4 linked regions of the Arabidopsis thaliana genome follow. The protein of the gene in region 3 interacts with the protein of the main gene of each other region in a pairwise test. Each region holds a gene or a part of one and is shown on either strand. Other genes may lie near its edges.

What was found.
Region 1: the proteins of FRS3 (region 3) and TCP9 interact in binary tests that used the Arabidopsis thaliana proteins (3 or more experiments, as listed by UniProt).
Region 2: the proteins of FRS3 (region 3) and TCP8 interact in binary tests that used the Arabidopsis thaliana proteins (3 or more experiments, as listed by UniProt).
Region 4: the proteins of FRS3 (region 3) and ZIM interact in binary tests that used the Arabidopsis thaliana proteins (3 or more experiments, as listed by UniProt).

What each region holds. Positions count from the first base shown.
Region 1 is NC_003071.7:18,819,041-18,825,471, forward strand, and holds TCP9 (TCP family transcription factor), read right to left. Parts: upstream 2,850-6,431; 5' UTR 2,748-2,849; coding exon 1,677-2,747; 3' UTR 1,202-1,676; downstream 1-1,201. Other genes in the region: SSE1 (shrunken seed protein (SSE1)), read right to left, coding at 4,425-4,486, 4,587-4,648, 4,830-4,897, 4,972-5,536, 5,621-5,840, 6,131-6,188.
Region 2 is NC_003070.9:21,510,766-21,517,515, reverse strand, and holds TCP8 (TCP family transcription factor), read left to right. Parts: upstream 1-3,326; 5' UTR 3,327-3,630; coding exon 3,631-4,836; 3' UTR 4,837-5,184; downstream 5,185-6,750. Other genes in the region: AT1G58110 (Basic-leucine zipper (bZIP) transcription factor family protein), read left to right, coding at 142-860, 952-1,027, 1,131-1,257, 1,395-1,597; AT1G58090 (F-box and associated interaction domains-containing protein), read right to left, coding at 5,891-6,750. UniProt on the Arabidopsis thaliana protein: Can specifically bind site II elements in the promoter region of PP438/PNM1.
Region 3 is NC_003071.7:11,574,851-11,583,928, forward strand, and holds FRS3 (FAR1-related sequence 3), read right to left. Parts: upstream 5,968-9,078; 5' UTR 5,556-5,967; coding exon 3,402-5,555; intron 3,320-3,401; coding exon 3,230-3,319; intron 2,961-3,229; coding exon 2,811-2,960; intron 2,472-2,810; coding exon 2,355-2,471; intron 2,164-2,354; coding exon 2,119-2,163; 3' UTR 1,818-2,118; downstream 1-1,817. Other genes in the region: SE (C2H2 zinc-finger protein SERRATE (SE)), read left to right, coding at 1-583, 664-712, 828-1,087, 1,196-1,354, 1,447-1,507; TIL2 (DNA polymerase epsilon catalytic subunit), read left to right, coding at 6,373-6,507, 6,607-6,672, 6,747-6,806, 6,879-6,974, 7,376-7,536, 7,642-7,730, 7,809-8,026, 8,440-8,526 and 2 more.
Region 4 is NC_003075.7:12,642,151-12,649,612, forward strand, and holds ZIM (GATA-type zinc finger protein with TIFY domain-containing protein), read left to right. Parts: upstream 1-3,413; 5' UTR 3,414-3,634; coding exon 3,635-3,940; intron 3,941-4,096; coding exon 4,097-4,186; intron 4,187-4,270; coding exon 4,271-4,404; intron 4,405-4,874; coding exon 4,875-4,982; intron 4,983-5,091; coding exon 5,092-5,197; intron 5,198-5,314; coding exon 5,315-5,398; intron 5,399-5,458; coding exon 5,459-5,584; 3' UTR 5,585-5,714; downstream 5,715-7,462. Other genes in the region: PWD (phosphoglucan, water dikinase), read left to right, coding at 1-5, 86-201, 277-481; CLT2 (CRT (chloroquine-resistance transporter)-like transporter 2), read left to right, coding at 738-1,135, 1,221-1,366, 1,444-1,481, 1,561-1,676, 2,001-2,100, 2,193-2,228, 2,316-2,366, 2,572-2,695 and 2 more. UniProt on the Arabidopsis thaliana protein: Transcriptional activator that specifically binds 5'-GATA-3' or 5'-GAT-3' motifs within gene promoters.

The sequences.
Region 1 (6,431 bases), 7.2 Mb from region 3:
GTAAATAGGATACAATTATCGGCAAGTAAAAAAAGGAGAAGAATTATATATATTTAGTAGAATTTTATTAGTGACATAATAGATAACGATTTGGTTTCTTGAGCCTTTAACAACTTACTTTGAAATCATTGACAAATATTACTTCACATAACTTGAAAAAAGAACGAACAAGAAAGAAAAGAATAAGTACATAAGAACCCAAGAACATAAGAGAGGATTTCGACAAGGACGAAGCAAAATTCTAAATGATAAAAACAATTGAATACAAACAATTAAATTAAGGCTAAGAAACAAAAACAAAAACGGTGTTCTTCTGCAACATGAATCGTAGCAATTGTTATGTAAGCAATTTTGTGTTGTTCGCAAAATAATGGGCCTTAGTCCTAAATGTTATGTAAGCCCATACAACTTTTTCCCTTTTTTGGGCTTAATCAAGAAATTAAAAAAGCATTGGGCTGGTTTCCCGCTGTTTGATTTAAAACCTTTTTGTTTTTTAAGAAAAATAAAGGAACATTTATAAATTTATAGGCCAACTATATATAAAAATTAATGAGGTCCACTGAAATAAAAGAAGAGAACGACAAGTCATTTCTCTAAGTCCACGAGGAATCCTATAGCCAACACTTCTGGACCTTTTTTCCCCATCCACGGCCACCAAGTTGGTTTAGGCCTCCAATAATACATTTTACCTTGTGTTTAACCTTTTAAAGTTTTACTTCCTACATATCTTAAAAAAATATATAATCAACGGTGTGAAACGGAGAACCATGGTTTAACTTTAACCAACCACACTTGAATTATAAATCAAACATAAACAAAGTTATCTTATAGTAAATCCTGTCTGGCGTTGAGACCGTAGACAAGAAGAAAATATCTACTACTACTAGTACTAATTAAACAACGAACGAAATAGAATCAACGGTTAGGACAAGACGATGGAATTGAACGGTAAAGATTAGATAGACACAAGTATGACCCACGCCAGGCTGTTCCTTTATTTCCTTAGCGTTAAACTGGTGGTGCTGACCCAACTAGGCGTCCCTTGAGTGGGAAGCTTTCAGGCCCCACGAAACAACGCCGTATTAGTGGTACAATCAAGCTTACTAGGCCCCGCCAATAACACGGACGAGACTTTTTTCGCAAAAAGCTTTTGTAACACTTGTAAGAAAATGGAATCATTTGAAAAGTAATGCTACAACAATTTTAGGAAAACAACATTAGTATTTTCATTTTAGATAGAAATATTTATTTTGTTACAGATTTTAATAAAATCAAAACATCAATATCACAATTGTTGTTGAGTGGACCATGACTTAGAGAGGGCTTCAATAAATCTTATTTTGTAAAATTACAAAGACCAAAAAAGTCAAGACAAAGTGGTGAGCCCCCACCAAAAAAACGAAACGTTTCGAATTATGCTTAAGCTTAAGCTGGTCCTACTCATACGGACCACGTAGCTCTAACCATTTGGGGACCACACCCAACCTGGCTGCCTCGGAAGCTATGCGTAAGGTGGGAGCCGTGTGGCCCCTCTCCTCCTCCCTCCACTCTCTTTTTGGTGCGTGTTGACCCACTTCTGCCTAAAATCGAGGCCCACTTCTTAACACGTGCACTTCTTCATGTGCACACGTGCTTTTTTTCCGATCACTAATACGCCGCCGTTTCCTTTCTTTTCTTCAGTGGTTCGATGACCGTGCTGTTGTGGTGCTCATGAACTGGTGAAGCTCTTGTTTCTCGTATATCTCTAGGGAGAAGTCTCTCAGCGTGTGCGTCGTTGTTGTTGCAATTGACGATGAACTACCGGTTGTTACGCCTGAGCTTGAGCTCGGAGCCATAACCGACGTCGCTCTTGATAAATTCGAACCGCTAACGTCTGAAACGGATACAAAGCCGCTGCTTGGAACAACTTGTAAAGGAGGTGGTCTAGCCATCGTGGAAGCCTGTTGAACAGCGGCGACGTAAGACGACGGCGAAGCAGCGGCGGCGGGAAAAGCTAATAACTGAGGCTGATTCGACGGACCAGCGATTTGTGGAATCAAGAAGAAAGCTCCGACCGTCGGAATCATTGCGTTTGATGGAATAGCCCACATCGGATACATTCCTTGCGGCAGAAGTTGCTGAGCCACAGTGGATGATGCCAGAGCTTGCGGAGGTTGGATCGTTGTCGTCGTGGCAATTGGAGCTAAACCGGAGGAAGCTGAAACGGCGTCGCTTATGTCTATATACTCACTGTTAGAAGGTCGTTTACGTTTCTTCTTCATCAGATTTTCACCCATATCAGAATCAGCGTTCGTCGTCGTCGGGATTTTTAAGGTTCCGTTAACCGACATGGCGATGGCGGGAACCGTTCCCGTACCCGTGGCGGCTATAATCGCCGGCTCAGCGTTCTCCAACAACCACCGAATCGTTTCGCCGTCGGATTTGTGACCTAACTCTCGAGTTAATTGAAAAATCCTAGCCGCACACGTGGCAGGCATCCGTATCCTTCTCCCTCTTCCTTCAACCTTCGTGTGACGGTCTTTAGTCGAAGCTCTCTTCAATGGTGGTCCTGTCGAAGACGGTGGAGCTAAAGACATTGAAAACGACGGCATCACCGGCTCCGCCTTGGGCTCGAGACTCACTGTGGGATTTACTTGGAAAGGTCTTGAAGTTTCGACGTTTCTGACGCCGTTGATGATGGTTAGATCAACGGCTCTTAGAGTTTGATCTTTGCCTGCAACTTCTTCAAGCTTCTGAATTGTCGCCATTAAAATATAGCTGAGAGAAAACGGACGGTGGAGATGACGACGAGAGTTGTTAAAAGCGGATACAATGGGAAAGAATCGTTTTAACGGCGTTACACGTCCAAGGAGATTACTAAATGTGACTCGTCAGGATATATATATAGGAGCAGGAAAACAAGTGAGAATAGTATTCAACGCTTTTTGATGCGGGAAAAATCAACGGTCCTGATGTGTTCGATGAGCTTTAAAGAACCATTCCGATTGTACCACGTGAACAAATCACTTTCCATTGCTCTATCTTCTATCAGTATTATTATGGGACCATCTGTACAATGGGGTCCAGTAAACTTTATTTCTCTTTTCACAAAATGTTTTTCTTTTATTGTTTAGTAATATACTTGTTTTTTAACCTAAGAAAAGCTTCAAAATCCAAAATCAGAAACTCATTCTGGTTAGTACTTACTAGTTACTAGTACACTCCCAAATGAAATACCTAGCTTTGTACAAAAATTTCCATCGCTGATCAAATTTAACTTTTCTATGGTTGGAAAGATTTTCAATAATTTTTATTGGTTAGGCAAAAAAAGATTTACTTTAATTTTATGGAAAAAGCTGTAAGCCCATACTTGGGGTTGGACCCCATTAATGTAGGTCACAAGGCTGCGCCACCAAAAAGCTAATTAGTGTCTATGGAATAATCCTCTTTCCAGGATTCCAAAATCCTCCTATCGTCCGTCCTTTGATTAAACCGGTCACATACATATACGCATACTTATGTACTTGTGTACTTGTACAATCCGGATATTAAACATACAAACCGAACTAGAAATCAGATCAAAGTAATCGAAATGATTGTAAGTTCGACGGTAACTAGATGTAACCGATTCAAACTTATTTTGATTCGTTGGTACTTGTTTCGGGTTTGAACCACTAGCTATGCTACTTGTACATACGACCGACCAGAAAGAGGGACCGTAAGCACCAGAAAAGAAAGGCTACAAAACGAAAATGTGAATGTGGGCCTGAGCTGGACCCTACTCTCTTCAGTTCCACACATTGTTGAGGGCTAGGCCCAACTATTCGACCCCACCATTCCCTACCCACTCAAAAATCAAAATATTGGCGATAACGTGGCCTTGAGATTAACAAACAAACGGATCCGGGATTAGAATTAAACACCAAATTATAAACCGGTCAAACCGGTAGTAACCTTTTAGGCTTAAAAGTTAAACCAAGTGGGTTCCACCTTTTCCGATTACAGATTCGGGTCCACCACAGAGGGATAATGTTGTAATTTTCGCAGCCACCAACTTTTGCCTACCATCAGCATACCATTCATTACGCCAGCATCAATAATTTGGGCTGATTGGTAAATTTGAGGTTTTGGATTCCGATGTTTTTACTTTTCACTAACCACACAATTTCACATAAATAAGTGTAGTATTTCTTACAAACCATTTAATCTTTAATGATGCTTGTTTTATTCGTATCGGTCCATTTCTTTAGACATAGAGAAGCTTATCTCTTCAGATACATCTGTCTATGGTTATGTTCTCTACCTGTTGCAATAAACACAATTTCTAACAAAAGCCTGAAACCATTCCCTAAGAAATCTGTAGGAGCCTTTGATGATCTGAAAAAGCATTCCAACAATGGCAATATTCTTCCGTTGCATATAAACCATAAGTAAAACGCTTAACCTCACGATCCCGATATGTAAGTGTACCGTGACTGAGCTCCCTCCAAAAGCTCCACAATTTTCTCTGCAATTTCCATGAGAGAACCAAAATAAGGTCAGTAGATGGCAAGTAGACAAGACAATCAGTGATCTCGTGAATGAAATGAAAGCTTTAAAAAGTAAACCTGTGAGGAATCCGATCAATGGAATTAGTTCCAGCTTCTTTTGAGAGCTTTCCAGCTTCTGCCTGCAATTGCAAGACAAGCATATTTGATTTATTAGTAACCCGCGATAGCTTAAGCTTTAAGCCTAAAACCCAGGGATACCAAATCTAATATTAACATAAGAGCCAAGAGGAAATGAACCACTTCGGTTTCAATTTTTCCCATTTCAGAAAATGCCATAATTGAAACCATAAGAACACTCACCTTGTGTACTTGGTGAAGAATGGATCTCTCATGAGGTACAATGCCCATATCAGTTTTCGTCTCCTCAGCTGAAGAAGTAACAAGAATATGAGTTAAATCGGTTCAACATTACTGTTGTATTGAGGTCCAAGAGATTTCTAACCTCATCCTTTTCAGGTCCTGAGAAATGGACTTGCTTGCTCTTCTCTCCCCACCACTTCGAATTTGCAAGAAGACCCATCCCCAGTGTGTCCACAGAAAGCGATATAGCCCAAGGAATCCAAGATCGGACTCCATATTTTCTGATGAAAAGAACGTAAATGAGCGGTCTCGTTATGTAAAGAACCTCACCAATCGCAAACAACGCTCCATTAACACCCTTCTCAGTAAGTAGCTCGGACATCGTTCTTCGCCTCTCCTTGATCATTGGAGGCTCTATAACTGCTTGCTGATGTTGAATTCTTCGAGACCAACCGGGGGTAGAAGATGTTGTTGTTCTTGCATTCTGACCAAATGAACTTAAAGCAGACATCGCCCGTCCTTCCAAGTTCCATGGATTATGATGATTTTGGTTTCCAAGACCATGAGGCCCGAGATTTCTACCCGAATTACCAGCTCTATTTTGCGACTCGGATTGGTTAGAATCTTTCTCCTCATTAGGTGTTTCCCCTCCTTGAAGAAGCATCTTATACCCACTATTCCGGAACAAGGCTAACCTAATGACAGCCCTGAAAATTCAAAGTTTTCAAGATATCAAAATGCCAACTAAGTAGGTTGTGTAGATCCAAGTGATCAGAAGAAAGCAAGCTTACTTCATAGCTTCAGTGAGAATAATGTAGTTCCATTTTTTGTCTCCATAGAAGTGTTCAGCTGCCACTTCCACAACAGTTTCCAAATCCTTGAGGATGGCGATGAGTAGTGGATAAGAAAGGGATGGATCATTCCCGGAAGATCCAACATGGCCACGAGGTGTTGGAGCATTTTCAATTATGTGTTCATTTATCGTTGAGAATATGCCCAAAAAAGCCGTTACTACAAAGAAGATTACCAAAAAACTTCAATCACACTTCCATGAACACAAAACTGACAAAAGAAGAAAGAAAGAAACATTCTTTGGAACTTGAAGGTTCTAATGTTAAAGACTTAGGACACGAAACATGTGAGGAGGTACAAGTGAAGTATGTAATTTGAGAAGAACCGATAAAACTGAGTATAGGACAGTGTTCATTATTCAGACAAGAGACTTTAGGAGCTAACAGGGATAAAGGAAACAGTTATTCTAAGATTGAAAGCAGTAAAATGTTACCAAAGTATCACAAAACCTGCTTCTGGTCCAATCTCTGAAGCAGAAAACTTCTCAGGAAGCAGCCATGTCAATCCCTGCAACAAAACAAACATATTTGACGAACTATCAGCTGATGAATTCCACAACTACGAATTAAAAGATCGAACTGATTCAACTCTTAAATTTTTTCAAAGGGTTTTCATTCTTAAACCCAATAAATAAAAGCTTCGATTTTAAAACACAACCCTTCAAGCAAAAAATATTCAAACAAGCAGACGATGAAAAACTTAGAAATTGACACTAACGACGAGACGAAAACAAACCCAAATCGACAGAGA
Region 2 (6,750 bases), on a different chromosome or scaffold from region 3:
TTGCTTGTTTTGTTCTAAATCTGCTACTGAGTTCTTAGGAGTTAGGCCAAGCTTAAAAAGATTTGATTTTGTGGGTTTTGATGCAATGGTTTAAATAGTCAGATCTATCTTTTACTGTTGTTTTGTCAGGCAAGGGTGACAATGGCTAGCTCCAAGGGATCACAGAGTGTTAGAAACTTGATGTACCCGGGAAAGCATGCTTTGCTCCCACCAAAAATACCGTTTCCTAGTGTATCAGCATCGTATTCCGAGTATATTCCTACTGGTTTGATTGGTTCAAGACATGGTCAGAAGCTTAGTAATGAGAAAACACATCACCAGCGAACTTCCTCCGAGAGCCATTTGGTAGAAGAGCTTCCCTTTTGGCTTGATGATCTTCTCAATGAGCAGCCGGAAAGCCCTGCTCGAAAATGTGGTCATCGGCGTTCATCAAGTGACTCTTACGCTTATCTAGATGTGGCTAATGCTACAAACATAAGTTTGACTCTCCAAAATGATTTCAGTTATAGGAATACTGTTTTATCCACTCAAAGAGGAGTCCAAGAGCTTGACCGGAATAAAAATGCTCAGGATGCTGCCTTCTACTCTGGTGCTAGTTTTCTGAAACAGAAGAGTCGTCAGCGGGATTCTTTGGTGGCAACTGGGGCTTGTCCTTCTTGGTTACCTTTCGCTCGTGAGAACGGTGGCGGAAAAAACTTGGGAGCTTTATATATGTCTCAAGATGCAACAGTAATATCGTCAGAAAGAAAGAACTATGCTGAACCTTTTTCTCATGACCCAAAGATGTTATCTTCTGAGGAAAACAACTCCAATCCTTCGCCTGTGACTTATGAAGCTGACAACACAAAACGAGCCAAACAGTTTGTGATCTCTTTACTCGTTCTTGATTGATGTACCTATTCAAAGCAATATAGAATGATCAGTACTCATTTAGTTTGCTGCTCCCTGCAGGCAATTTGCACAAAGATCACGGGTCCGTAAGCTCCAGTACATATCTGAGCTAGAAAGAAATGTACAGACATTGCAGGTAAGGCTCAAAAAAACTTGCATTCAAAGAGAGAGTAAGTGAAAGATGTAGTAGATTACAATTTGTGCAGCACTGAAGTATGGATTTTATTTTGTGACTATAGGCAGAAGGCTCCAAAGTTTCAGCTGAACTTGATTTTCTCAACCAGAGGAATCTTATTCTGAGTATGGAAAATAAAGCTCTCAAGAAGCGTCTCGAAAGTATAGCTCAGGAGAAGCTTATCAAACAATGTAAGTTTCTCGCAGTTTCTTTTAGGTTCTTAAGGTTCAAACTATAGTCTAGAGTATGAGTTTGTAAGTATTAGCTAGTTATCAAGATTCAACAGTTCTTAAGATTGTATACCTCATGAGTTCTGTCTATTATCCAGTGGAACAAGAAGTGTTGGAAAAGGAGATTGGGAGACTACGAGCGTTGTATCAGCAACAACAACAAACTCAAAAACCATCAGCCAGTCGCGGACGTGCTACTAGCAAAGATCTCGACTCTCAGTTCTCCAGTCTTTCACTGAACACCAAAGATTCCAACTGTAGGCGTGACTCTGTATCTGTGATGGGTCAATTCCACTTTTAGTAAATGTCTCTCTACCCACTGGTTCATTAGAGATCTTAAGGGCCTGGCGACTCAACAAGATCAGACCCTTATCTACCGCCTCACCACAGACGTTTTTAACTCCCCCGTCGTTTCTTTTTTTTTCTTTTCTTATGGTTGACAAGTTAACTCACCAGTGCACCTGGAAATCCTATATTACTTCCAGGAGATGGCTTGCCTGAGGTGGTTTAGTTCGAAGATCAGACACCTGGACTTCATTTATCTGGTGATTGTTGTAGCGACTTGTGTAATATATGGGACGAATATATTCGAACCCGGACTCATCTCTGGAGTTGTACTATGATACCCACTGTTGTATTTTATGTTACTTGTAAAATGGTGCATTCCCTTCGAGTGAATGCTTCATGTAAAGTTGTTGCCATTTTCTGTAGTACTATCCCCAAGCGTCAAAATATTTGATTGCCTCAGATCTGCACTTAATTTATATGCACATTTACAGCTATTTCATTGCTCTTTGTCAAGCCTCTTGAAGGGCCTATATCAACTCAATTGTTATCAGAAAGTAAACTGGTTAGCATTGTTGTCGTTTGGTTTTAGAGGAAACTGAAACGGCTACATTAGAAATGTTTTTGGTAGGCGTGGGCAAAATACCCGAACCCGAAGAACCGAACCGAACCTGACCCTAAAAACCCGATCTGAATTCAAACCCAAAATTTTAAAATACCTAATCAGATCCTAAACTACAAAACCCGAATCCGATCAAGTTTCTGAACATATCTGAAATATATATACATAAAAATAATTTATTAGTAATAATCATATTTACAACAACTATTAAGTGCATAAAATATTAGATTTTGTATATATTTTGGATATTTTACCTACTTTTCGATAGATTCGGATAGAAAATACTCAAGTTTTTTGGAATTTTTTTTGTGTATTTTCAAGTAATTTAAATATATTTTGATACAAAATTTTGAGTTTTGGATATTCCGGATGAACTCGAATCCAAACCAAAAAAACCCGATCTGAATCTGAAATCTTAAAATAACTGAACCGTAAACCCAAAAAGACCCAAATACCCCAACGCCTTACCATATTAAATTAGGAGGAAACCCGTTCATAAATAATTTTTCGGGTTTGGGCCACAACAGACCGGCCCATTTCAACCGGTTCATAAATTCTAAATACTAGAAAATTCCAAATTAGATAAGTTTTTGTCCATCCTTTCTTTGGGATTCTTGACGAGTAACGTTTGATGTCTTTCTTAATTTGGTTGAATGATCAAATTTGTGATCCAAATTCTTACAAACTGATATGTTAATGAATCTATAACCAAAATAACGTCTAAAACAAAAAGCTGTAACGATTTGAAAGTGCATTTTTTCCCAAAACTATATAACTAATTAAAGAATTTAGTGTCATTTATCTAATGGATATACTTTTAACAAAATCTTATAAAACTAAAAATATTTAAGACAAAAGTGAAATGGAGATACGGAGGTGGATTGTAATGAGCTGTCCCCACCTGCAAAAATACGCACGCTTCACTGTCTGAAAGATGCTTATCTCTCTCTTTCTAACTTTCTTAATCCACAAATCTTTTTTAAACCTTTTTTTATTGGTGCTCTAAAATTGGTAAACAATAATGTTGTGATGAAAATAATGTAATTGAAAAATAACATAACTCATATTTGGGTAGAATTTTGATAAAAAAGACTTAAAATAATTGTGAAAAGTTATTTTTCTCCCCTAATTACTTTTTGATTTATATAATAACTAATCAAAAATCAATAAACGTTTTATTTAATGTTAATGACGGCATATATATTATTTATTTTAATAATAATATCCTCTTGCTGGAAAAGTCATCCACCTGCTTTTACATCATCAAACCTTTTTTTCTCTCATCTCTCTCTCTCTCTTCTCGAGACAAAGAAGAAGACAAGAGTCAAACTTGAAGGCGACAATCGGAGCTTCCATGGCCGTTTCTTCCTCTTTCACCAAACCCTAATTTCAATTTCATCTTCTTTTCCCTTCTTTCTCACCGGAAAATGGATCTCTCCGACATCCGAAACAACAACAACGACACCGCCGCCGTCGCCACCGGAGGAGGAGCAAGACAGCTAGTTGACGCATCTCTCTCAATCGTTCCCAGATCTACACCTCCCGAAGACTCAACACTCGCAACAACCTCATCTACGGCAACGGCGACTACAACGAAGCGGTCGACTAAAGACCGTCACACGAAAGTCGACGGAAGAGGACGTCGGATTCGTATGCCGGCGCTATGTGCAGCTAGAGTTTTTCAGTTAACGAGAGAGTTAGGTCATAAATCCGATGGTGAAACTATTGAATGGCTTCTTCAACAAGCTGAGCCAGCTATTGTTGCTGCTACAGGTACAGGAACTATTCCGGCGAACTTCTCTACTTTAAGTGTTTCGTTACGAAGTAGTGGATCGACTCTCTCTGCTCCGCCGTCGAAATCGGTGCCGCTTTACGGTGCTCTTGGATTGACTCATCATCAGTATGATGAACAAGGAGGCGGCGGTGTGTTTGCTGCTCATACGTCGCCGCTTTTAGGGTTTCATCATCAGCTTCAACACCACCAGAACCAGAATCAGAATCAAGATCCGGTGGAAACTATTCCTGAAGGTGAGAATTTCTCTAGGAAACGGTATAGATCGGTTGATTTGTCTAAAGAAAACGATGATCGGAAACAGAACGAGAATAAATCTTTGAAAGAAAGTGAAACGTCGGGTCCTACGGCGGCGCCGATGTGGGCGGTTGCGCCGCCGAGTAGGTCTGGTGCTGGGAACACTTTTTGGATGCTTCCGGTACCGACAACGGCCGGTAATCAAATGGAGAGTAGTAGCAACAATAACACCGCCGCAGGCCACCGTGCTCCTCCTATGTGGCCATTTGTGAACTCTGCTGGAGGAGGAGCGGGAGGTGGAGGCGGAGCAGCGACTCACTTTATGGCGGGAACGGGGTTTAGTTTTCCGATGGATCAGTACAGAGGAAGTCCACTTCAGTTAGGTTCTTTTTTAGCTCAGCCGCAGCCGACTCAGAACTTAGGACTAAGTATGCCGGACTCGAATCTCGGGATGTTAGCCGCTTTGAACTCGGCTTATTCAAGAGGCGGAAACGCAAACGCGAATGCGGAACAAGCGAACAATGCGGTGGAGCATCAAGAGAAGCAGCAACAGAGTGATCATGATGATGATAGTAGAGAGGAGAACTCAAATAGCTCTGAGTGAGTGATGTAAACTAATCTTGTGAAATCATTGAATGTGGTAAGAAATTGATTTAAAGCGTTTGTAGCGGTTTGGTTGATTGTTTTATTGTGAGATTTTGTGTGTTGTTGTTTAGTAGTGTTTAGACAAGAACAATTTATGTGTGAAGGAATTGTTAGGTTTGGGTCCAAATGGACTCTCATGGGTAGAGAATGTTTTCAATGTATAGAAGGAATGATAGTCTTTTCGATTTTTCAGTTTTCATTGTTGAGTTTCTTATATTTTTGTAGGATAAAATTGCATTCAAACCAAAAGAATAAAAATTGCATAATTAATCGCAATTAATAAGTTCCAGTGAAAGAGTTGGTGACAGATCTCACTTCTTTTCTGTATGCTACTTTTGTTTGATTTCTTTTTCGATCGAGCAAGGTCTTCTGCAACTGTTCTTTTTTCTGGCACAAGGATTTTCAAGGCACTAGTATGTATATAATATAAGACACACTGTTCTTTACTTGGAAAAAATTGAGTTTGGATACTTACATGATAGATATTCTAATAACATGCCTAGATGGTTTAAGCAAGCTAGGTTGTATACATCTACTCATTAATGTTTATTTTCAATACTCAGTGTCACTGGGCTTCCGTTCTCTTATTAATTTCAATGGAGTGCTAAAACTAACTTTGGGGAAATAGATAGTTGTTTGGTTCAAATATTTTGTACACATGATATTATTCTAAGACAACATACACGCACTAAGTTAGTTTTCTGTTTTTGTCCTAGTCCGCGCTAACATTTTGGCTTATGTTATAACTTCCTTGGTTACAGTATTCTCCTAATTTGAGCGATAGGTTATAGTGTATATAAACAGGAATCACTGATAGAGAAAGGACGTCGTATATCTTCCCATGCTCACAAATTAGATTATCAATTAACCGAATTAGGCCGAACAAATTGTGGAAATCAATCCTGTAAAAGCTTTATTAAATAATATCTAAATAATACGAAAGCAACAATGAATTTAAAACTTGTAAAAGTTCTTCTTGTTCAGTACTAGCTTCAGCGAAAGTCTCTCAACTCTCAAGGAATGGTGATCAAACTGGGAACATAGACAGAGGATTGAAACTCACATAGCACTTGATCTATCTTAATCTTTTTGCACAAATCTCCCCTCACAATATACACCCAAGCTGCTTTAGGTCTCTTGCTAGGACAACACAGAACAAAGCTCTTCCCATGGATATCATTATCGACAAAGTAACTTGTAGAGATGTAACTAAGTAATATGGGGAAGTCAGGTCTTGAGACTGTCATGAACTTAATCCACACCACATCGTCTCCATCATCCCCGTTACCAATTTGATCCTTTGTCACCCAAATCTCAATCTCCCTTGTTTTTTTGGATTGTTCTAACACTGAAAACCGATCTCCCTTGTAAATCGAGAGGATACGAGTATGTGTAGTACTTTTTTCCCCCTTACACGGTAAAACACAAAAGGTCTTTCGACTCTTTTCTATCTCTTTCGAAAAATCGAGCATTGCGATGAAATACTGACCAGTGTGGGGAGAATTATAAGCTGTCCAGTACAAATTTCCATTCAGGGAGACCCTACCGGAGTCGTCCATTAATTCTGGCTTTTCGTGAAAACGGGTATGATCAGTAACCTTCCACGCATTGGTTGCAAATTCGAAGACTGAATATGTATCAGTAACTTTACCCTGCCAAGAACAACTACTCCTTCCGATAATCTTGTAACTCTTTTCGGGTCTACTACCATCGTAACCAATGGCCTTGCCACATGTATTCTCAGCCTTGGCAATCCATTTAGTCTGTCTCCAAAACAACGGGTTCCAAACAACGCCTCCGCCTCCATTAAGAAAGCTATACATGAAGAAGTTACCATCGCAGATCCCATACAGATGATAACCGCGGCAACTTA
Region 3 (9,078 bases):
GTAAGCTAGACTCTGAGAAAAAAATTGAGGAAAATGTTTTACAAGGTTCAGAAACTGAAAAATCAGGTAGAGAAAAGTTACACAGTGGTTCTACTGGTCCAGTTGTAATCATAAGGGGGTTGACATCTGTGAAAGGCCTTGAGGGTGTTGAATTACTTGACACGCTTGTTACATATCTATGGCGTGTTCATGGTCTGGACTATTACGGAAAGGTTGAAACAAATGAAGCTAAGGGTTTGCGGCATGTGAGAGCTGAAGGAAAAGTTTCTGATGCAAAAGGAGATGAGAATGAAAGTAAATTCGACTCTCATTGGCAAGAGAGGTTGAAAGGTCAAGATCCCTTGGAAGTGATGGCTGCCAAAGAGAAGATAGATGCTGCCGCTACTGAAGCTTTAGATCCACATGTCCGAAAGATTAGAGATGAGAAGTATGGTTGGAAATATGGTTGTGGAGCCAAGGGCTGCACGAAGCTGTTTCATGCTGCTGAATTTGTGTACAAGCATCTCAAGCTGAAACACACTGAGCTTGTCACAGAGCTGACTACCAAAGTTCGGGAAGAACTGTATTTTCAGAACTATATGAAGTATGTAGGCTTTTTCTCTTGGATTCCTCTACTGTCGTTTCTGACAGGTTCGTAATGAAATTTTTTTGTGCTATTTGCAGTGATCCTAATGCTCCAGGAGGACAACCAGCCACGCAGCAATCTGGCCCGGTACATGATCTTCTTTTGAGATTTAATGGAGTGTTGACTAGTCTGTACTTTTGGGTTATCACTTGTTTAGCTTGGTTTGAGTTTTATTTACGTGGGTTAATTATACTTTCAACAGAGAGATAGACCTATAAGACGTAAACCCAGCATGGAGAACAGACTGAGGGATGATAGAGGTGGACGCAGAGAGCGTGATGGACGTGCTAATGGAAATGACAGAAATGATCGGTCAGAAGATCAACAGAGAGGGGATAATGATGGTGGAAATCCTGGGGAAGTTGGGTATGATGCATTTGGTGGACAAGGTGGTGTTCATGTTCCTCCCTTCTTATCGGATATAAACCCACCACCAATGCTGATGCCTGTTCCTGGTGCTGGGTAGGTTTAATAAAGATTACTCACTCCCTTCATGATCTTGTTTTCAGAATAAATTAGTTACTGTGTTGAATCAATGATCTTAATGTGTCTGAATGATGATGTGGTCAGGCCACTGGGACCATTTGTACCAGCACCACCTGAAGTTGCTATGCAGATGTTCAGGGACCCAAGTGGACCCAACCCTCCTTTTGAAGGTAGCGGGAGAGGTGGACCTGCCCCTTTTCTGTTGTCTCCGGCCTTTAGACAAGATCCTAGACGGCTGCGCAGGTAACGTAGTTCACTCTGTGCTATGAGTCCATTACCCTATGATCAAGAGTGCAGTGTCTCTAAGGTACTAATGTATGAGAAATTTGGTGCAGCTACCAAGACCTAGATGCTCCAGAGGAAGAAGTGACCGTTATTGATTACAGGAGCTTGTAGACAAGACAGGGCTAGAGAGATCCCGAGTTTACTGGTTCGGGTTGGGTTAAAGGGCATCAGTATTAGAAGGCAAAGCTAGCAGATTGTGGCATTTTCTTACCCTTTTGATGTATTATGTCTTGTTCCTCCCAATTTTCACTCACTAAAGCGTAAAATACGCACTCCATACATTTCCTTATTGTTTTTCAAAATTTTTCATGTGCTTTCTTACTAATTCTGTTCGACGATGATTACATAAATAGCATGAGAATTTCTTGTATTGAATAATGCGTTTTATCCACATTGTTTGTTATCAATACTTAAGTCTCCATGGCAGTCTTAAATCTCCATGGCCATTAAATATAATCTGCAGTCAAACGAATGACTATCCACAAGAATCCAGGTTTTTAGGGTTCAATGTAAATAAGAAGGATATATACACTTCAAAGCCTGGCTCAATGCCTACCAGATTCTACACACTTGCGTAGATGACGTGACACTTACACATGTTACAATTACACATAAGGCATTGTATCGTAAATCTAACAACACTAATCACAGACGAGCTCTAATGAGGTTAACAACCATTTTCCAAAGTTTTCTTTTCCAGAGGTTGTTTCTCTCTCTCAACATCATTTGCGTTGCTTCTTTGCTTGAGATTCTGTTTGTAGCTCTCCCTGCAAATGCAAGATACCGTTTAGATACTCTATAAGACAATACATAGACCAAGTAATAGTTCAGGAACAATTATAGGTCGATATGAACCTAATTGATTGCTGTTACTATTACTAATTCAACTATCATTGGCCTTGTAATTATTTAATAACTACTACTTGGAAAAAGAAAAAGAAAAAGGGAGTGTGCCTACAACGATTGAGAGCTGCTCACGGATATAGGCCATTGATCTCAACATGGCACCTAGTGTATCTCGGGACACCTGAAACTTGACCTCTGATTCTCCTGTTGTTGTCTCGGTATCTTGAAGCTGGAGTAAGGAAAACAAAAGAAGATTTTTTCACACTGTTGAAACCTTCTAGTTCAATTAAGAGTCCCTAATATGGAGTAAAACATTGATTTTGGTAATCAAACATGAAATTTCATATTCAAGTAGTGACGCTAGTATAAATAACTGCAAAACGTATGGCAAGTTAACATGAATGAGAGAATCAGCTTAAACAAGTCAAACAACACAGAAGTTTCACACACTAACGGTAGATGGAATCTATGTTAGAACAAACCAAAGACAATCAATAAATTAAAAGGAGTTTAGTCAAGTCAAGAAGACTACATGAGAAGCTACGAGCCTAGAGTCTAAAAGACATACCTTCAAATTGATGACAGCTACTCTATTGGCTGGAGATGAAAGTTGCTCGCTAATGTAAGCCATGGACCTTAACATGGGTTCAAGTGTGACGCTAGACAGCTGAAATTTGACATCCATGTCTGCTGAGGGAAACTTTCTGTAATCGTGCAACTGAAAACATCATGAAAAATAATCCTCAGTAAAGCGGTCAACTACTATTTTGCAGGAACGAGCAAGACTATTAATGGCAACAACTTTGATTTTCCTACACTATAGCCAGTAACTTTTCCGAAAAGGCGAATGTCAATTGTTCAAATCTTCAAGATCATTATTCTTACAAATCTAATCTCTTTTAGATAAAGCATCCCATCAGACCAACTTTCAGTAAAAGTTACTGCAAAACCCTACAGAAAAGATTTACTGGTTCATATAATGCACACCTTTAAATTGATAACTGCAACTCTACCACCCGGCATTGTATTTTTACTCTCCATCCCCCAAGTCAATGACTTAAGACAAGGAAGAGCCACCTGTAAGACAAAGTAAATCAAGTTACTGACCAACACCAATAGAATCAAAGAAATAAGTCTGTGAAAGGTTTCCTCTGGGTACCATATTCTCAGGAGCAGTATCATCTCGGTGAAGTGACACTGGTGCCATACGCGGCAGATTCAGATCAGAAACAGATTGAGCTCTGGCCCCACCATCGTTAAGGTTAAATCTGCGTATCATTTCATCCTGGCGCGGCCACAGCAAAGGGGTTGTGTCAGCAGCTGATAGAGAGGTCTTGTCACCACTACCAATTCCACCACCATGTGAGCTAGGAGGCGCAGCTCTACCTATCCTTTTCCTGACAACTGAAACCTTCTTTCCACCTTCTCTGAGTTGCCCTAAAGCAATATTATAAGCTTCAGCTGTAATTGCCCCTTCCTCAGCATACTTGATGGCTTCGCGACATAAATGATTATAGCGGTGTATCGAGCTATCATGCCCATTTTCACTGACATGCTCATCTAACTCTACCATGCTCTTGGCATTTCTTGTCCACCGTCTCAAAATATAATGTGGTGGCAAAGTGAGTATATTAGTGACAGTAAACACCGTCAAAACATGTCGGCAGAGTATGCCGGAGTGCTCAAACATTTGACAGCTGCAGTTTGCTCTCATTTCAGGGTAGCAAAACGTTACTATATAAGCTTTGTTGTCATTTTCAAAATTTGCAACCCTAAATGTGCTGGTAGTACCATCATCTTCAATTCTGTTTGCCGTGTGAGCGAATGTCTCTACCAACTCTTCCTGGAACTTTCCAAATATTTTCCTTGTAAAGAGATTTGCAGCCTGATTCTCCATGGGTGATGGCGTCTTCAAGACTGGAGGTGTGTTGACAGTGTCAAGATCTGCTTCAATCTCCATCTCGAACCAGCTCTCCATAGCCCTTTCGTACAGCCTAAAGAACATCGGAAGGGTTGTCTGCTGATTCACATATCCATCGAAAAAGGAACCCGAATAACCTTGGCTAGGAAACACTGCAGCAAAAAACGAATCCCGGAAATAAACAGGTACCCACTGAGCTCGAGCATTATATAAAGAATTAAGCCATTCATGTCTTCCTAAGTCATATTTGTCAATGACAGAACTCCAGGACGATTCAAACTCCTCAATCGTTTCAGTAAAGTTGATACAATTATATAGCTCCACCTGAAAACTAGGATACGCAAGACACACATGAGCCAGCTTTTCCTGACCTTCTCTTAGCACATCCCACTTATTAATACAGTGACGAGCACCTGGAAATACCTGACCAGCAGCAATCTGTATGGCTCTATCTTGATCAGTCACCAAAGAAACCGGCGGTTGATCTCTCATTGCTGTTAGAAAAGTCTTGAACAGCCAGATAAATGAAGTGTCTGACTCGTCCAAAATAAGTGCACAGCCAAATAAGATAGCCTGACCATGATGATTCACACCAGTAAATGGCGCAAAAGGAACACGAAACTGATTGCACCTGTACCTCGTATCTAAGGTAACCGTGTCACCAAAATGAGTATAAGCAACCCTAGATCTCGAATCAGCCCAAAACACATTTGACATCTGATTATCTTCATCAAGCTGAACCGCATAGAAAAAGCCAGGATTCTCTGCCTGCATCCTCTTAAAATACTCCAACAGATTATGTGCATCCCGTCCAATCGTTCTCTTCGTGTTTGTAGCCATAGACGCATTTCTAGCTCCTCTGCTATTAGCATCCATAGAAACATACATCATACCACTAGGCACATTAACCCCTTCTTGATAACTAGATTTCTCCGAGTTAGCAAAATGCCTACGAGGACGAAGACAATGAAGCATATTAGAACTTGCTAATCCATGAGTATGCTCTTTAACAAACTTTGTAACAACCCATTTCTCATGACCTTGCAACTCTATCCTAACCATTGCATCACAACTCTCAGAAAGCCTTCTCTTTGACCTTTTACTACTACTACTACACACAAATTCTCGAACACTAACAGACCCATCAGTTCTAGGAAGAAGCTTAGAAGTAAAACCAAGCTGCCTCGAGTACTCATCATAGAAAGATTTAGCTTCTTTTTCTGAATTAAACTCCATACCAACACATGGCTCTGCAATTCCAATCTCATCTTGCACCCCTAACGAGTTATCCATGTTGTTCTGTCCACTGCAATCACTAGGTTCAACATCTCCTTCATCTCCTATCTCATGATTCCCCATTGACACATTCTCTTCCACCAAATGAACATCCATAACCTTCACTTAGTAGAGAAGTTCTAATTTCACACAAATGTTTCTCATCTTCATAGTCTACAAAAAAGTACTATTAGTGTTTGGAGATCTTCTTCCGAACATATAAATATGAGGACTTTTTGCATCTCTCACTCTCCGATTGTTTGTTGAGAGAGAGAGAAACCCAGAAAGAGGAGAAAGCAAAAGAGAGAAAGAGGAGCTTACGTCAGTCAGTGATGCGAAGAACTCAGAACTCAGAAGAATCGAAAGTCGTGAAATTAGGGAGAAGGGCAACAACAATTGGGGAAAATTGAGAAGAAGCTATGGCAGCTATTTCGTTTTCAGATTCGACCGGAGGAAATTAAACTCCTGCTTCTTCTCAGTCGTTCGCGAGGAAGAAGAGATTCAAGCACGAAACCGACGTCGTTTCGTGCTTTTGTTGGTTTTTTTTTTTCAATTTAAATAGCGAGACCTCGTTTTAATCTAAACCCAACAACAGAAAGCCCTCATAAAAAGTGAGGCCTCATTTGAACCGAACCCAACAACCAGGAAAGCCCTTGATACAAGAGACAACGCGCGCGAAAGCATTTCATCTTCTTCATCTGTCTTTTTTAGTTGAGCCCTAATTCATTTTCGGATGACAACTTCATTTCCTTGTATTGTCGTCATAAGAATCTCAGGTTCTAGATGATTCTCTCTTCTCTTATTTGATCTGGTTCCATCTCTTCACCGTACCAGTGTCAATCACGAATCCCTTTGTTTTGAACCCTAATTTATTTAATACGCAACACAAGCAATCAATACAAGAGTCTCTTAGCATCATCGGCGTGGGCCAAATATGAGCGGAAGGAGATGTGATCGGAGGTTGAATGTGCAGAAAGTTTCAGCGGCAGATGAACTCGAAACTAAACTTGGATTTGGGCTTTTCTCCCAAGGGGAAACGCGGCTCGGGTGGCTACTCACGTTTGCATCAGTAAGTCACGTTTTGTGACTTCCCTAGTAGTTAGTTCTCTGAATACTGAAAACTTCTAAGTACACTCACTGATTGGTTATTATACTACGTTGTTGGCAGTCATCTTGGGAAGATGCCGATACTGGGAAAACCTTTAGTTGTGTGGACCTTTTCTTTGTCACTCAGGTCAGCTGTGGTCATTGCTACTATATTAGCTTCTTTCTTCGTATCAGTTGCTCAACCCTTTTTGTTTCTTTCAGGACGGCTCTTCTTTTAAGACTAAGTACAAGTTCCGCCCTTACTTGTATGCCGCCACCAAAGTATATATGTTCTCTCTGTACTCGAGTGTTTTCTTCCTATATGTCAACTAAACTGCAATGCCCTTTTTACAGGACAATATGGAACTGGAAGTTGAAGCCTACTTGAGACGCCGATATGAAAGACAAGTTGCTGATATTCAGATTGTTCACAAAGAAGATCTTTATCTTGTAAGTCACTAAAGCATAACTCCTTTTACGCAGTTTGCAACTACCTGTTGATTACTCGTTTCTTTCTCTCTATATAGAGGACTCATGTCAATTACATTTGCTACAACTTTTAGTTATTTTCCTCTTCTTGCAACTTCAAATTGAGCAGCTCTAGTAATAAGTCCAAAACTGATCTTGCTTCCATGTGCTCAAATCATCTATCTAGCCTGCCAAAAACGTTCTTGTAACTCAAAAAACGTTTGCTAGTAAATGTTTAAGTGTTTAATGCTTCTTCTTTAGTGGCAACATTATGCAAGATATGAACGTTTTCAGTACCTCTTGTTTGGTTGTCACTTTTGCTGACCTTTTCTTTGACCTACCATACCAATTTGAGTTTCTTGATTTCTTATGTTCATGAGCAGAAAAATCATCTATCTGGCCTGCAAAAAAAATATCTCAAAGTATCATTTGACACTGTGCAACAATTGGTGGAAGTAAAGAGGGATCTGTTGCATATTGTCGAACGAAACCTCGCAAAATTTAATGCACTTGAAGCTTACGAATCCATCTTGTCTGGAAAACGGTAAGGCAATGTATTTTTGTTCTTATAAATTTCCAGAGTTCTTACAAATTTATCCCTTAAAACTATGTTGTTCCTTAGTTATAATTTCCAAGTCTTGGAATGTAGAGAACAACGTCCTCAAGACTGCTTAGACTCTGTGGTGGACCTCCGCGAGTACGATGTTCCTTATCATGTCCGATTTGCAATTGATAATGGTAACCTATTTAGTCAAACTTTTAATCCTAGTTTAGCCCTCAAGGTTGTCAAAATCATGATGTGTTCTCGCTGTCCAGATGTGCGTAGTGGGCAATGGTACAATGTCAGTATTTCCAGCACTGATGTCATACTAGAGAAGAGGACGGATCTTCTCCAACGCGCAGAAGTTCGCGTTTGTGCATTCGATATAGAGACAGTAAAGCTTCCATTGAAGTTCCCGGATGCTGAATATGATCAAATTATGATGATATCCTACATGGTTGATGGGCAAGGTTTTCTAATTACTAACAGAGAGGTAACTGCTGCATACATTTGTATTGCATTGGATTTGATCTAATCAATGATGATATATTACATGATGGATGATGACCGTTTCCAAATCATAAACGTAGATAAGCTGCTATATAGCCCTTATGTGAATTTGGATTATTTTGATTGCATTCTTAATCCAAGATAAATCAGATATGATCCATACGAAATTATCCCGCTTGTTTGATTGATTGATGTGTGACTGTAAGACTTATTGTTGTGGACTAACATAACGTTTTGCTATGTAATTTAAAACATGAATTTTTTTTCTTAACAATTTTCCATTGGATATATCATCTCTGGTTGATATCTCAGCTCTATTATTTCTTTTAAATATTTGGGCCACTTCAATCTTGTTTGATAAAATTTGTAGTATTAACTTTGCACTTCTTAATTCAGTGTGTTGGCAAAGACATAGAAGATCTGGAATATACACCCAAACCAGAGTTTGAAGGGTATTTCAAAGTCACGAATGTTACCAACGAGGTAAAGTAAATTAGCTCTTGATTTGAATATTTGTATCAGAAAGATTGAGGTGCTTAGAATTAAGTTACTTTCTTGGTTTTGATTTGTATAGGTTGAACTCCTCCGAAAATGGTTTTCTCATATGCAAGAGTTGAAACCTGGTATTTATGTTACATACAACGGTGACTTTTTTGACTGGCCATTTATAGAACGGAGAGCATCTCATCATGGGATCAAAATGAACGAGGTATCACGTTTCCTTCACTGTGGTATTGCTAACAAAATATTCTGTCTGCATCAAATATATGATCTACTTGAGAAATTCTTTGTGACATTATTCACTGATATTTTGTTGTCACCTTGTGAATGTGCCTCTGCTTAAAACTAGATTAGTAATGTGTTTTGCGTTTGAATTCTGAAGTTTTCTTAGAATTGGCAAGGTGGCACTCATCTACCAGACCTCGGTTCTATTTCCCATCCCCAGGGCATAATGTTTTTTTTTTTCCTTCCATCGTGGTTGCAGGAGTTGGGATTCCGTTGTGATCAAAATCAAGGTGAATGTCGAGCTAAGTT
Region 4 (7,462 bases), on a different chromosome or scaffold from region 3:
CAACCGTAAGAAACAAACAGATCCTAGTTGGCTCTTAAGTTGAGTTATATATTAACCGAGTGAGTGGGGAATTTGGGTTGTACAGGTGATCAGTTACCCAAGTAAGAGGATAGGTCTGTATTCTAAACCCTCAATCATATTCAGATCAGATTCAAACAACGAGGATCTCGAAGGCAACGCAGGCGCTGGACTTTACGACAGGTTTGTTTTGTGTGTTTCTCTCTGTTTCCGTCTTTTATTTCGGAACTCAGAAGCTGAAAGGGTTAAGTGCTGCAGTGTGATAATGGATGAAGCAGAGGAAGTAGTGGTGGATTACTCAAGGGAGCCACTAATAATGGACAAATCCTTTCGAGTGCGTCTATTCTCAGCGATTGCAGAAGCTGGAAATGTGATAGAGTCAATCTATGGTTGTCCTCAAGACATTGAAGGTGTTGTCAAAGGTGGACATATCTACATCGTCCAAGCTAGACCCCAAGTTTAAGCTCTCTTTTTCTACTTGTACCATTCCCTAAGTTTTCAATCAAATCTTATAATTACAAGCTAATCTTTTATATGTTTGCTATTACACATGTAATATTTCTACATCATGGCACACTCCTGATACAAACAAACATGATTCAAAGTTTCATAATAAATGATTGTGTGATAAAAATCCAAAACTCGTTTAAACGACATCGTATGAAGGGTCGCATAAGCGAAGAAGGATATAAAAACAGTCGCCGAGAAAGTCTCCCGCTATGGATACCGTTCTCATGGCTACAACACCACCAATCAGATGTCTTCATGCTTCAATTCCTACGGTGTTCCGTTCGCCGGCGATTTATCAGGTCAGCTGCCGGAGCTCCCAACTGTTTTCCTACCGTTCGACGACTATGATGAGCATGTGTTTTCTCAGACGGTCCGATTTGAGATCTCGCTTTCTTAGTACTCCGAAAACCACTTCTCCGATGAGACGACCTCGCTTTTCCGTCGGTGCTTCTACGGAGGAGTCTTCAATTCCTTCTAATCGGAACCTTATCGTGGCTAACTCCGTCGTAATCGTAGCTTTAGCTGTAGCTAATCGCGTGCTCTACAAACTCGCTTTGGTTCCCATGAAACAGTACCCTTTTTTCATGGCTCAGCTCACCACTTTCGGGTAACTTAAACAAGAGTGGCTATGAAAGAAATTGGGCAGTGAAGGAGCCTAGCTTAGATTATGATAAATGAATGGTTTTTGGCAGCTACGTCTTGATTTATTTCACCATTCTGTATACGAGGCGCCGTCTAGGCATTGTGACGAATGAAATGATGGATGTACCCAAATGGAGATTCGCAATCATTGGTTTTCTCGAAGCTCTTGGTGTTGCCACTGGCATGGCTGCAGCAGGTATCCCATTTATAGCATGATTGAAACTTTACATATTTATAAGGTTACATATGGAGTGATTCCACTCTCTGTTGCAGCAATGCTTCCTGGACCAGTTATACCCATTTTGAATCAGGTCTTTTGGTTTTATGATTATCTTCTTGCTCATTTGTTCTCATGGGGGTGTTGAACTCATGCCTCCCAATGTTTGGCAGACATATTTGGTGTGGCAGCTGCTTTTTGCTCTTCTTATTTTAGGCAGGAGGTTTTTGCTTAACCAAATTGCTGGTTGTCTCCTTGTGGCTGTGGGGGTTGTGGTGGCTGTTTCAAGGTATTCCTTCCTCCCTCTTCTCTTCTTCTAAAGTTACTTTTATCTTCTTGGATCTGGATGCTTGATCTTGGGGTAGAGAAATGTTTGTGTATCCGTGGTCATTTACAGATTATATCAAGAGAGTGCTTTCAGCTCTTACAATCTAGAAAACTAGTTTTCATGGACCAGAGTCACACCTATCAAATTCACCATGCTAAATGAATGGAGACGGCTCTACTTTAGTATTTATCATCCACATAGCAAATAGAAGGCCCTGATTCTAGAGAAGCTTGTGTGATAGTGATACTTTCATTTTTGTGAATGCTGACTGTAACTCATCTGCAGTGGATCTGGTGCAGATACTACGCTATCTGGAATCGGTTTCTTATGGCCTGCTGTATTGGTAGCATCCGCTGCTTTTCAAGCTGGTGCATCTATCATAAAGGTGAAGGTCGCTCTCTCTTATGAGTTGTGAACATTTCTATTTTATTTTCTTTTGCCAAGACCCAAGTTGTTAAGTGTTTTGTCTGTTAACAGGAATTTGTTTTCAATGATGCTGCAAAGCGTCTTGAGGTATCTCCCTTATCCCCTGCATCAAACAGGAATGCTTTTCTTTCGAAACTTTGCTGAATTAACTCTAAGATTAACTGGTGGATGCAGGGAAAGTCACTGGATATATTTGTGGTAAATTCATTTGGATCTGGATTTCAGGTATCTACTACTACAATATCATGTTGTAAATGTATTTGTTACAGCCAAAACAATTAGACATGCTTCTCCATTACATCAAGAGTACGTGAAGAAAACATTTGAAAGCTGCTTTCCTCTGTTATTCACTTATTATCTCTCTCCTACTTGAGAAGAGTTTTTGTTTTTTGGTTTAGTGTTACGGATCACTGAAGCTGTGCTTGTGCAGGCTCTTTTTGTGTTCCTGTTGTTGCCTTTTCTCTCAAACTTGAAAGGCATTCCATTCGCCAGCCTTCCTTCATATCTAAAAGATGGTGCCGGATGCTTCTTCAACACTGGAGCTAAGATTTCTGGTTAGAGACCATTCGACACTTGTTTTTTTTTCCTTCATTGAATTTTATTCACTGCTAAAACTTTGTGATTATCCATTTGAGAATTTCAGGCTGTGATGGTGCCCCTATACTCCCACTGCTCTATATATCCACCAATCTCGCTTTCAACATCTCATTGCTCCATCTGGTGAAAATATCTTCAGCAATCGTTTCCTCTCTTACCATGATGCTCTCAGGTCCATATTTCTATCCTTCCATGCAACGCCTCTTAAGTGTCACCAAATACTCAAACCCATATGAGATAATACTTTTGGTGTTGTTGTAGTGCCATTAGCGGTGTACATAATGTCAAAACCATTGCCGTATCTACCGGGAGGATCAAGCTTGAGCTCAAATTTTACGATGGGGTGTATAGTTCTTGTCCTAGGTCTTCTTCTCTACAACATTCCCACTACTCCAACTAAACAACACACCAAGACCTCCTAACACACTCACTCACCATTCATCCTTTTTGTGCATTACTTTTTTTTTTGTTGATAAACCAAATTCGTGTAATTTCCCAATTTTTTTTCCTTTGACCATCAAAGATACATAGAATATTCTCAGATATTTTTTTTACGTGAAAAACTAGCTTAAAGAAAAAAAAAAAAAAAAAAGAATAACAAGAAGAGAAATTTGTGATTGGTTAAAAATCCAGTAAAGTAGAGTCGTCGGGTCGTCTCGGAAGCAGTGCTGCGATTTTACCTAAAGTCACCTTTTTTTTTTACCGTCGGGTGAATTCGACGACGGTCCTAATCTCGCCTCCTCCACACGCGCCGATCACCATCTCTCTCTGTAATCGCTCTTCTCGATGTCAACTATTTCCTTCTTCCTTTGCTCTTAGGGTTAGGGTTTATTTTGTTCTTTCTCTATATCCTTCAATCAATGTGAAAAAAAAGCTCTCCCTTTTGGCAGTTTCCGATGTTTGGTCGCCATTCGATTATCCCAAATAACCAGATTGGTACCGCCTCTGCTTCCGCTGGTGAAGACCATGTCTCTGCCTCCGCTACGTCTGGTCACATTCCTTACGACGATATGGAAGAAATCCCTCATCCTGACTCTATCTATGGTGCTGCCTCCGATTTGATTCCCGATGGCTCTCAATTGGTTGCTCACCGATCCGATGGCTCTGAATTACTTGTTTCTCGGCCACCGGAAGGGGCGAATCAGCTTACGATCTCGTTCCGTGGACAAGTTTACGTTTTTGATGCCGTTGGTGCTGACAAGGTAATTCTACTCTGTCCCTCTTTTGTTATTTGTGTGAAGTCTCGATGGATGCATCTGAAACATAACATCTGATGGCTTAGGGCACGTAACGATTGCCTCTTTTGCACCTTTGTGCTTTTGCTAGTCTTAACCAAACTTTGGAAATTGATTTCGTAGGTGGATGCTGTGTTGTCGCTGTTGGGTGGTTCTACTGAGCTTGCTCCTGGTCCGCAGGTGATGGAACTAGCTCAACAGCAGAATCATATGGTAACTTTGTTATTTGTGTTCAAATTCTGCTTAAATTGTCACTTCATCTCGATTCCACCTTTTTCAGTTTGGTGTTATTTTTAGCCTGTTGTAGAATATCAGAGCCGCTGTAGCCTTCCGCAACGGGCACAATCCTTGGATAGGTTTCGGAAGAAGAGGAATGCTAGATGTTTCGAGAAGAAAGTAAGATACGGTGTTCGCCAAGAAGTTGCCTTAAGGTCAGTGTGTCAGTCTTGAGTTTTACCAATTTATGCCAAAAGCTGTTACTCTGAACAAAATTCTTTCACCTTTTCTGGGATAAAAATTTAGTATTCTTGTATAGCTAAACTAAAAATTTTCTACTCTTCTGGCTATGCTCTGGTTGCTTAACTACTTCCTCACTTTCGTGTGCTATGGATTGAAAGGAAATCTGTTCATATTCAACTAGTTTACTATCTAGCTAGTTTTCTTTTATTTGTTTCAAGAAGTTTGGTGACCATGTAGGTGTTTATGTAGAGTAGTAGGCTTCATTGTCCATGGCTTGCTGTAGTATTTGACAATATGGTTGTAGTTGAGCAGGATAGACATCTGAGTCTTTGTTAGTGTGATAAGTAGCTTTTACTGGAAATAATCGACATGTCTATTTCAATAATAAGGGATAGGATTTGTCACCTTCTCTGCCTCTCTGACCTTTGTTAGTGTTTATCAGAATGGCACGTAATAAAGGTCAATTCACCTCTTCAAAGATGACAGATGGGGCTTATAACTCTGGCACAGATCAAGATTCTGCCCAAGATGATGCCCATCCAGAAATATCGTGAGTTCTTTCTCTTCTCTGCCAATTAACTGTTCCTGCAATTTTTGTTTTCCACTAATGTGGGACATTTTGTTTGCACTTATTTTAAACGTGAGTGTGTCTTATGTAGGTGTACTCATTGCGGCATTAGTTCCAAATGTACACCAATGATGCGACGTGGCCCTTCCGGCCCCAGGACTCTCTGCAATGCCTGTGGACTTTTTTGGGCTAACAGGGTACGTATGAAAGACAAAGTGATGATAAAGACATATATAATATGTTCACTATGTTCAGTTCATAAGATACTGATATAGCCAAGAAGTTTGACATTTAGAATTGTTCAATTCTTGTAGGGTACATTGAGGGATCTCTCAAAGAAAACAGAAGAGAATCAGTTGGCTTTAATGAAACCGGTAAGCTCTTATAAATATCACCCTGTGTTTCTGGTTGGTTTATCCACATAAGGCGGAGCTTGAATCATCATCGCTTATTTGTAGGATGATGGTGGGAGTGTTGCTGATGCTGCTAACAACTTAAACACTGAAGCTGCAAGTGTTGAAGAACACACTTCCATGGTTTCTCTTGCCAATGGGGATAATTCTAATCTGTTAGGTGATCACTAAATACTGTGATAAGAATCAGAAGATAGAAATCTTTGTAGAATCAGATGGTCTTCTCTATGAATTTATCTTTTCACCATCACATGTATTATAGAAACCGTAACCGAACCTCAAATCAAATACCATATCAGATGTCTTTGGTTTCAGAGTTTGTTACTATGCTTGCAACCATACCCATTGACATGGTGTGGTTAAAAACGTTAAAGTCGATTCTGAGGGGAAAAAAGTTTACTTATTACGTTACATCCTCAAAAGATATGATCAGATTAAAAAGACTTATCAATGTCTCATACATAAATCAAATACTAATCTACTCAAAACTTGAAAGGTGATTTCTTCTTCTTTTTGGTTGTATTGACCAACTAACAACACTACGTATCAAAATATCCGAAAAGATTTTAAAAGTTTCATTGGAATGGGACAATGCATCTTAGATCTCAATCCTAGTTTACAAGATTAGTTTATTAGAGGATGTATGCATACGCATCATATACCAAAACCATGTGGATTACTAAATCGGGCTCAGGACCACTAAATAGATTAGATTATCTACAAATCACATTATTGTGTACATAACAAATAGAATACATTATATAAATCACACAAAAATGTATCGAAGAAAAGAGAACCGTCGAACCAGTTTGATGGTAATCAACTAAGATAATGTTTTTTTTTCTGATGTCAATAGTGTTTGTTTATGAAGGAATTTATGATGAGATTATTCGAGAAGGAGTCGCTTTAAGTGACCCGATCCTCGTGACGACTCGTTGCTCTTTCTTTCTTTATTATAGATTATAGTTGTTCAAACAAATGAAAAGTATCTGAGACGAATAAATTAATGGGTGGTCTGTTTCTGTACTATAAAGAGGTCCATGCATGTACCATATCATCTTATTATGTACTATTAAACAAATAGATTAATGATTATATAATGTTTTCCGATATATTGAAATTAGTTTATGAGTCACGAGTTAAATCTGAAGGCTTCACCAAACCTAAAGTTAAAAGTCTCAAAACAGTTAAACACTCTTGTGATATCATCCCTGTATATAATCTTTAATGAAAACGTAGAAAAAAAGATTATTTGCAACCAGAAAACATCTGAACAAATATCCATTTCTCGTGGTTTTATGTTAAAACATTTGTCGTGTTGGGAAATAATTGAAACTTTTATTTTCCAACATTGAATTTTTCTTTATGTTAAAAGTGATGTGAACTTTGTATAAAATGAAGGAAAATTTAAAAGCACTCCCCTATATGCGATGCGAGAAAAGGGAGAGAAGATATGTATGCACTTGTTTCTTGTCACGTTCCGTTTCCACAAAATCAGTAGATATGCCAGTAACTGTGTTATCTTCTTCTTTTCGTGCGTCTGTATCCAGGAGACATATAAATGATGCTGAATTTCCTAACTATTTTTAATTTATAAACATGAGAAGCGTTAAATGGGTAGCAGCAATCAAACGTTTGGTGCTTAAAAGCGCTTATTTGAAGTATAAACAATTTGATATTTATAAGATAAAACAGCATTACATATGAAATATCATGATTCATAACTATATATGCAAAATTTGAAAACTTCTAAATCCCAAAATTACACAAAGATTAACTAAACTACATTATAATTTATAAATAAATAAAAAGATTAGTATCAAAACTAAAACGTTAAGAAATATCATAAGTGATGATTAGACGACAGTCAAAATGTTAAATTTCATGATGAAAAAACAAAAAAAAAAGAGTAATTTGTCCAAATACAATCAGCTGACTATATATTTTGTCAAATCATATATCATATATACTAAAACTAAGAAAAAGATAACCATCAAACCAATTCAATTTATATCCACCTACATATGACTTTGATACATTTTTTGTGTA